Linked DNA regions of Xenopus tropicalis. The protein of the gene in region 1 purifies or fractionates together with the protein of each later gene. This does not show direct contact. Links are inferred from orthologs where the notes say so. Each region holds a gene or a part of one and is shown in the gene's direction. Other genes may lie near its edges.

Region 1 (4,831 bases):
AGTGATTTATTTTGGGCCTTAAGTGCAAGGGCCTGTGTTGTAACTCTCTGCACTACATTCATTTCAGATTAGACACACTAGTAACAGAGGCTTAGCGTTTGGGGCCCAAGCCCCCCACCACAGCAAGAAAACTTTTGGTCCCCCACATGGGGTGGGGAAACCCCAGCTCCCACTATGTATATGCGCCCTTGCTCCCTTACCTACCAGCCAAAGCAAGTGGCGGCAGGAAGCTGGAAGAATACAGTGAAACCCAGGACTGTGCAGGTCCCCAGCATTCACAGAGTCAGCTATATGCTAGTTACAAAACTGACTAGTAACTACAATATTGTTATTGGACTTTTTGGAACTGTATATTGCATTAATTTCTTCCCACAACAATGCCCCCTTACACATCTTCTTCCCCTGTGCACATCCACACTGCCTCATTCTTCCACCATCATCTATGGGTATATTCACTAAAGGTCAATATGAACTAACCCATGCATTATCACCTGAACTAGGAGGTAATATCTCATCTCTTGGTTCATCAGTGCAGGTCTACATTTGTTATTCTCATGGGTATTACCTCCAGTCAGATAACAATGTGATTTTACACCTAAGGGCTTTGGCACACGGGGAGATTAGTCGCCTGCGACAAATCTCCCTGTTCGCGGGCGACTAATCTCCCCGAAATGCCATCCCACCGGCGAAAACGTAAATCGCCAGTGGGATGGCATACGCGGCGGCGCGATTTCAGTGACATCGTGGAAGTTTCCTCTCAATAATGCTCACCTGATTTAGCCAGCTAAAACCAGCAAAACAATGCCCATGTATGTCATCTATTTTTAACGATAAACTACTTTTTTATGTGTAAAATACAAATTTTTGTTTCAAAAACAGTTTATTCCAAAATGCTGGGGCTGTGGCTAATGCCTATTAATGTTAATACCTCCCAACATTAGAAAAATATAAAGAGGGAAAAAAGAAAATGGCGTGTGTAGCGCCCATTTTTGCAACCACACCCCCTAAATATCACTCCCATTTTGCTAAAAAAAGAGGTGAAATTGCCCTTTACGTTAATAAGTCTCAGTTCCCCCAAGAGACATGTTTAGCTTATTGGTTACAATTGTATCTAAGTGCAAGTGTAGCTTGTTAATTTCTGGGCTCTCTGCCAAAAGTTACTTTTTAAATTAAGTTTGAGAAGCATTGTATCTTTTTAAGCTTCAGTGCAGGAAATCAAAGGGAAAATAGGAACTTTCAAAATCAGGACAGTTGGGTGGTAATAATAATGTGTATCTACTGCAACTCAAAAAGGTGTAAAATCTGGTGACATCTCGTTTTGTTAGGTGCTCACATTATAAGCGATATTAACTTATAAAATAACGCATCTTTACACAACAGTAGAACGTTTAGAAGCACCAGTTTCTCCGAAAAAAAGACCTTGAACCTAAAAGGTACAGCCAACAAGGAAATACTTTAAGCAACTGGAAACAAGTTGGTGACCGTGCCACTACAGCTTACACTTTACAAGTTCATAACACATTCCATAAGTACCTAACTTTTCTGCGTAAAAGTTTAGTTAAAAAAAAAAAATTAGTTTATTACGGCACCGAGCACTCAGCCAATCAGTGAAATAAAGGAAGAAAAATGCAGCCTACCAAAAGCCGAGCGGAAGCACTTTCATCCAATTAAAGATAGGAGGTTAGTGAAAGGAACCAATCTGTGAGGAAGAAACTGCAGCCGAAGCCAATCTTTGCTTTGCGTGGGCGGGACTAGGTGGGGCGGTGCCCGAGTTTGCTTCTGTGATACTAGTTCCCGGTGTCAGAAGCGGAGATCCCCCGGGTACAGGTAAAAAGATTCTTACACTGGTAGAATGTATAGCAGGATGAGCACTGCAAACTTTACTTATACTCTTCTAGATATTGTGCTATATATGGTGTGGCTGAAAAAGGAAACTTGAAATGCTTGATATTTGTGAATTGCATGTAATTACCGAAAATGTAAGTTTATACGATAGTTAACACTGTAATGGTAACAGTGGACAGGAGAAATAACCTCTTTCGCGTTTCTGTAGTAAAGTGTACATGGCATTTCTACTAATGCAGGTTCTTGTAAGTATTGGGAAAGTGCCTAAACAACATAGAAGTAGTGGCCTACATAAAAGTATATAGTGCAGCTGCTGGCTGCTTTGTATGTATGTGATTCTGCTGGACCTACACCTATTTGGGCCCCAGGATATTCTTATTAAGGCCTTTTATTTTCCATCACAAAGCTGGCAGTGACATTAGAAGTTACAGAGGCCCACAGCAAAGTTATTTTAGCCTCCAACCCAAACTTTGGAAATATAGTTTTCATAAACATAGATTAAAACTACTTATCAGTCAGTGTTCCACTGGGCCTTGCATCCTGTCCCTGAAAAACTAGGCCAACTTTTCCATATGCTTTTGTATATACATTCATTTAAATGTTTCAGTGGTTTTTTGAGTTATTTGTAAATGCAATTGCTTTTGAAAGCAGTATCGGTCTGGTTGTTTATATTCTCCGCACTTTTGATTCTGAATAGAAACAAAGTAGCAGCATCAAGTCGGTCAACAGAGATGAGCTGAAGGAGAACTGGCTTCTTCTACTTAGTTTCAAGAGTCAGAACCAGAGAACTGATAGGGATTAACAAACCTGCTTTTAATAGCAAATACAAAAAAACCTAAACCTATGGAATATCTTTAATGTATAGTGAAATGTTGCTTAGAATTACATGTTATTTTATTATGCAATAAATGTTTTTTGGGTAGAAAACCCCTGTAACTTGTTTCTTATAAGGAGACCCAAATTATCCAGAAGTTAACCTTATGACCCAAGAACTGGTTTAGAACAAATTATGCACCTTAAAGGAGACATATCCTATAAAAATTATGAATGTACCAGTGAATTATACTCCTCTAGATATAGAAGGATTGTGCTTAAAAAAGTTGTGTTTCAGACTGATTTATTGAAAAATTCCACAAAAACCCCACTAGCCCCGCCCATCTGTGCCACTTCCTACTGGCTGAATTCTCTGGATGAGCAGGGGAGCCGGCAGCCCTCAGTACACTGCACTGTAGGATAGGAACCAATCAGCAGCTAGGCTGACCTGATAGGGAACTGAAGCCTGTCTTTGCTTGTGGGAGTGCAGGGCTGTGATTGGCTCTCCCCGTCCTACTGTGCTTCTGGCAGGGACCGTTAGGACACGCCCACTCTTCATTGCACACTGGACGGAGAAGTGATAGGATCTATAGGGAGCTCCAATAAAGGGGCCATTGTTACAGATAGGATTAATGTTTAGCCCAAAGGGAAACCAGCACCGTATATTATTCATAATTGCCTACAGGATAAGGGTTTTTCCCATTTATCCAATATGTCTCCTTTAAATACGTTACTGCTGAAGGAAGACTTTTTTTTTTTTTTTATTAAAGATAATATTGGTGGCCAACTCTAAATAGCATGCGCCAATATTAATGTCTATTAATGTCCATTGTTATGGATATAAAGGATTTCTAGCAGTTTCCAGGTACAAATCTCCTATCTATTTATTGAAATAGTTTATTACCACTTATTTACTAAGATAGGTTGATTACTTAATACTGGGACAACCACCATCAGTAGTCTTTATAACAGAAGTGTTTTTTTTTTTTTTTTTCTTTCATAGAGAAATTTATAAACCACGTACTTTGTGAATTCACTTGCTAGTAATTGCGATCACTTGGCATTGATCAAGGCAGTTAACTGACAAATAAGCCCAGATCATATTTGCTTGGTGTCATTGCTACATGGCATAGGGTATAGTTTTCCTGATGCAATTAAAGATATTGTCTATGTTCTCCCTAGATGCATAGGCTTCTGATCAGTAGTTTACTTCTCATCCTTGCCTGTACCCAATAGGGCAGTTGTGTTAACTACTACTCTCTATGTGTGCATGATTTGCACATATTCATAACTTTATTGTAAGAAAGGGCACATTTCAAGCTAAAGCTTTTGTTACAGGATTTGATAGATTTAGAATTTGTTCCATATGGCTGTTGTATGTGGTAGGACCTTGCAGGCCCATGTCTTGTAATATCCATATTAAAGAGGTTATTCACTTTTAAATAAACTTTTCATATGATGTAAAGAGTGATATGTTTTGCATATTGCAGTTGGTCTTCATTTTTTATTTGCAGTTTTTAATTATTTAACTTTTTGTTCAGCAGCCCTCCAGATTGGAATATCTGTTTTATAGGGTCCAATCTAACCTAGCAACCAGGCAGTGGTTTGAAAAAGAGATGGATATGAATGTAGGAGGGCCTAAATAGATAGATAAGAAATACTAAATAGCATTAACAATAAATTTGTAGCCTCACCAGGGTCAGTGATTCCATTTGAAAACTGGAAAGAGTAAGGAAGGCAAATAATTCAAAAACAATCAAAAAAAAAAATTAAGACCTACTGAAAACTTGCTAGGAATAAGCCATTCTATACATACTAAATGTAAACCACCCCTTTAAGATCAATGTGTAGTGAGGCTTTACTGATCATTTAATTATTCTGAATTTGTATTTTGGTGTCAATGTGACTGCTCTTTAATGTTACCCATTAACCAGGAAGGCTTACAGTAATAGGTCAGTAACTGTTACATCGTTTCTATTTAGTGCACAGATAGTTGGACTATTTTTTTTTTTGTTCAAGTTATTGGTTCAACCTTTGGTGAGTGTTCTATAGGCAAAATATAAGGAAACTTTCCTGTATCAGTCCTAGTTCCCAGACTAGGATATATGTTTTCAGCACAAAACTCACCCTAACTGACATTCAAGATTAGTCTGAATCCTTCCTGCCTTGCTGT
Region 2 (4,967 bases), on another chromosome or scaffold:
TAAGGATTAATTATATCTTAGTTGGGATCAAGTACAGGTACTGTTTTATTATTACAGAGAAAAAGGAAATCAGTTTTTAAAATGTGCATTATTTGATTAAAATTGAGTCTATGGGAGTCTATGGAAGATGGCCTTTCCGTAATTCGTAACTTTCTGGATAATGGGTTTCCGGATAAGGGGTCCAATACCTGTATAAGGATAATTTAATTAAACATTAATGTAAAACAATATCAGTACAGGTATGGAATCGGTTATCCAGAAACACATTACCAACACATTCGAATTATGGAAAGGCCAGCTCACATAGACTCCATTATAAGCAAATAATTCTAATTTTTAAAAATGTATTTCCTTTTTCTCTGTAATAATAAAACAGTACCTGTACTTGATCCCAACTAAGATATAATTACCCCTTATTGGGGGCAGAACAGCCCTATTGGGTTTATTTCATGGTTAAATGATTCCCTTTTCTCTGTAATAATAAAACAGTACCTGTATTTGATCCCAACTAAGATATAATTACCCCTTATTGGGGGCAGAACAGCCCTATTGGGTTTATTTAATGGTTAAATAATCTTTTAGTAGACTTAAGTTGTGGAGATCCAAATTACAGAAAGACCCCTTATCCAGAAAACCCAAGGTTCCGAGCATTCTGGATAACGGGCCCCATACCTGTACCATGTTGTTGCACCAATATTTCTTTTCATTCAAACACAAAACATTAGCTTTGACTGGTTTAATGTAGTTATTAAAATAAAACCGAATAACCGGCTGCTATGAGTTAATGCCCTTTGGCCAGTTTTCCCCCATACTAGTAAAGGGGCAGCTAGCAGCTAGCAGGTAGCTATAAACTTCAGTATCCATAGTCCATAATGAGGCAAACAGTACAGGAAAGAAGCCTATAACTAATAACAGCTTATGGTTGTGCTTAATCATACAGTGCATTCAAGTAGTATCTCTCCAACAATGAACATATTTGCTCTGCCATCCTAATTACAGGCAATTTTAGTTACCCTTTATTATCTATTCCTGTAAGATAGTATCCGCTCTCCCAGCATGCAGTGTTTGATTTCAGGGAATAAAGGTCTCTAGAGAAAGCTGCCATATTACATCACCGCTACCTCCAGGCTACGTCATGAGTGTTGCAGAGAGCTTCAGAGTCAATGGATTCCCGCACGACTATCGGACAGCCGAAACGCCTAATCCCATGTTCCCGGGGGATTTACACAATCCAGCAGCTACCCAATCGCCATAATACCTGTGCTTATAACCCCCTGCACCTGCACCAGCCCTTACCTGTTTCATACGCCCGTCATCATTCCGCACGTCAGTTCCGCTTCGGCCGATACGCAGGCGCAGAAGAGCCTACCGACGCAGCGGCAGACATATTTGTATCGGCTTGTAAAAACCACTCGGGGTGGAAAGCACAGGTTTGAACAACACTCAAATATAGTGACATTTGTTATTTGAACCTTTATAAGCCGTAACTTCCGGTTGTTCACGTCTCACTTATGTTCTTGATGCTTGCATTATTCATTTGAGTCCACTTTAAAGATGGCGGCCACTGGTGAAGGCTGGGGGCGCTTCCGTTCTGACATGCGCAGTAGGTGACGCTGTATTTTTCCCTTGGCTGTGCTATAGATAGGGAGAGAGGCTAAAATGGCCAGTCAGGAGGATCCTGTGCAGAGAGAGATTCACCAGGATTGGGCCAACCGGGAGTACATCGAGGTGATCACCAGCAGCATCAAGAAAATCGCCGACTTCTTGAACTCATTTGGTGAGAGTGGGGGCGGCGCTGTGTCCTGCAGGGGATCCTTCCTAGGGCGTAGGGCCGGCAGGGCTGGGCACTGTATGCCTGGGCGATGGGCAGCGCCTGTGTATAGGATGCCAGCCTCTCCATCCTGCCCTGTTAACTGCAGCTCCCAGAATCCTCTGGGCCTTGTGCATCCCAGTAGCTGTACAGCCTCCAGTGTGACAGTGTCGCCTTGTTATTATCTTACCAATGGCCATGGTGCCTACACTATATAACCATGGCTTGCTACTCCATTACTTGTGTCAAACAAAAGCAATTTATACACTGTACTATATAGATCCCAGCATGTACATTGCAGTGGGTAATTACACTATATATAGAGTGAAGTGTAAGAGTGAAAGCAGCATTTACACTGGGGGTGTAATTAGTAACCTTATTGGGGATATTGCCCATAGTAACCGTCAGATCTTTGCTTTTGTTCTCTAACTGTTCAAATCTAATTGCTGATTAGTTGCTATGGGCAACATCCCTAGTGATGTTGGCTTTCACTCTGTAATAAATAAGCCCCATATGTCTATGAGCAGGGAGAGGGGGAGAATGAAAGCAGCATGTTACACTGTGTGAGTGAAAGCAGGTACATTACAGTGAGCAGGGGATGGAGGGCCCGCACAGGCTGTAGGAATGATGCAGTGATCATGGTGATGGTGGCTAATGGACCTGCCTCTAATGCTTCTTTCCTCACATCCACTAGTAATTGGGTCACTGGGATGCACTGAATCCAGGATTCTGCCAAGATTCTCACACAAATCTATGCCTCTCGCCAAACCTAATTCTTAAAATCAGGTGATTTTTTTTTTTTTAACCCTCAATTGTCCAATTGTCAGTTCGGTATTCAGCCAAATTGTTCACGAAGGATTTGGGGTTCTGCCAAATCCCCAAAATAATGGATTTGGTGCATCCCTATTGGCCACCTTTTCTAAGCAGTACATGAATCTGCATGGTTGAACCACAGAGTACATCCTGGTTGGCAGTATTTGCAAATTAGGGACACTTTGTTGCTGGGTGCCTTTGCCTTATTGTGCCACATCTGCCTCATGTGTGAAGCATAGTGCCATGGTTAAAGGGACCGTATGCCTTCTTTTTAAACATTGGATAATATATAGGTCTTGTGCTGAACATACTTTTGACTGTAAGGAAACGTTTATGGTTTTTTGTAAGCACCGCAGAATTAGAAATTGGGACTAATTTCACTAATATTGAGAGTATTGGTTGACATTGCTCTTTAGGACCAGGAAGGAAACTGTGATTTTAGTTCCATTTTCTAATTTTGCCATGTTTAGTGCAAGAAATAACAAAATCAGAGACAGGGCCACTCCTGCAATGAGGCAAGGCACACCACACATGGTGTGATCGGCCAGTTACCAGGGGTGGCAAAAAGCTGCCTCTGGTAAGTGGTCTGTGCACTAGTGATTCCGCCACCCATTTGACCCACTGATGCTGTAGTTGTAAGTGCAGGGTGGGAAAGGGGAGGCGGCGTCAGGGCTGCTCCCTCAGAAGGATTATGGGATTGGGAGGATGCAGGCTGAGGGCAGCCGACTACTTTATTTAAGTCTCAAAGTAGATCTGCAGAGGAACAGGGGGCTGGGCTTAGGGAACTGTTCCAAACCATATTAAAAATCATAAAAAAAACTGCATATTTTTTTAATTGATGTATTGCTTGAAATTATGTTTTCTTTTTAAAAAGCTTAAATTGTGTTTGGGTGGAGTTCCCCTTTTTTTTGCCCAGTTCCTGCAAATGTAGTAGTTCCTGTTAATGCAATGCATGTAAGTCTATCGGTATCTTTTATTTTTTGTTACACTGCAAATATAGGCAGTGCTCTCTATGGCTGACTTGTGAAATGCGTTGGTCAGTGGTAACCTTATACTCTGCTTTCTTCAAGATATGTCTTGTCGCTCACGACTGGCAACCCTAAATGAAAAGCTGACTGCATTAGAAAGAAGAATTGAGTATATAGAAGCAAGGGTATGTAATGTTATATGTTTTGATTTGGTGGGGGGCACAATGTCACATGGGGCATACTGATATTTTGTTTGTCACTAGGAAGCAACCATGGCATTAATAGGAACCTTTTATAGATCACCCTTGACCTGATATGACTTGTACATGCTGACCTTGTGACTTCCTGTGATGTAACCCCCAGAAATCTGTGGGTCTTTTAGCCACTGAAACAAATAGCATTGATTGAAACACCCTATGTGACCATCTAATGGAAATATATAATGGAGATATATTGCCCAATACTTTTGCCCCCACTGTTAATTTACTGGCTGGCTGACATGCACTGAATGCCACCTGAACTCTCCATATGCCGGCTATGTGTAAAGCCCCCTTTTTGCTTTTAAGCAAGCTTCATGTTGGATAAGCAAGAGAATCAAATGCTTATTCACAATGAACTAATAAAGCTCTTCTGTGCCAAAGGGCACATGTACCATCTCCCCGGCTGTCGGTACAGCAGCAAATGCCTTGAGACTGAGGGGTGGCTATTGGAGAAACCATCTGCATATCAAATAAATCCTTGGCCCTCTGCCAGTCAGCTTCAGCAATTTGCTCTTGAAAATGGCAGCTTAAAAATTACTTAAAGGGCCACTATACCCGCTAGCAGAATGGTGCTCACAAAAGGGCGTATAGCATTATATTAACTCGCTGTGCTAGCTGTGACAACCTTGGGCATTGTACCCTTATGGCCACATCCCAGTAATATATGCAGCCCTAGACACACACACACACTCTGGCTTCATGTATTTGTATTGTAACACAAGTGGAGGCCTAGGGAAGGAAGCTAAATAACAATGGCTGCTTAGGTGTGCTAGTAATACCTTCATACAACCTAGGCTAATAAAGCTAAAACAAGAAAAGCATACTTTAAAACATGGATATTTGAATTTAATATATGCAGATGGCAAATAAAGGTATAGTGGCCTTTTAAATAAATTGCAAAATAGGACACAGGCCAGCATAGCCTTACTTCTAATTACACTTCAAGGGCCCTTTTTAAAATGCAACATGTCAGCCATGTATGTAAGCACTTAAACCTCTATTTATTTCTTTAAATAAATCTTTAGTTTCTGATTGTAATTAAATAGTTGAACTATCATGTAGTTGCCCTTAGAATCTCACATTGTTCTTCCTTTCTTCCCCCTCCCCCCTTTCCTA

Evidence for each region. The genes of interacting proteins can lie anywhere in the genome.
Region 2: the proteins of wasf2 (region 1) and brk1 purify together in Homo sapiens (co-immunoprecipitation; 3 studies listed by BioGRID and IntAct, with this or other methods). This does not show direct contact. The link is inferred for Xenopus tropicalis from reciprocal best matches to the Homo sapiens genes WASF2 and BRK1.

What each region holds. Positions count from the first base shown.
Region 1 is NC_030678.2:78,053,686-78,058,516, reverse strand, and holds the start of wasf2 (wiskott-Aldrich syndrome protein family member 2), read left to right. Parts: upstream 1-1,799; 5' UTR 1,800-1,827; intron 1,828-1,830; exon of another isoform or gene 1,831-1,847; intron 1,848-4,831. UniProt on the Homo sapiens protein: Downstream effector molecule involved in the transmission of signals from tyrosine kinase receptors and small GTPases to the actin cytoskeleton. Promotes formation of actin filaments. Part of the WAVE complex that regulates lamellipodia formation.
Region 2 is NC_030680.2:128,857,998-128,862,964, reverse strand, and holds the start of brk1 (protein BRICK1), read left to right. Parts: upstream 1-1,642; 5' UTR 1,643-1,659; coding exon 1,660-1,777; intron 1,778-3,693; coding exon 3,694-3,776; intron 3,777-4,967. UniProt on the Homo sapiens protein: Involved in regulation of actin and microtubule organization. Part of a WAVE complex that activates the Arp2/3 complex. As component of the WAVE1 complex, required for BDNF-NTRK2 endocytic trafficking and signaling from early endosomes.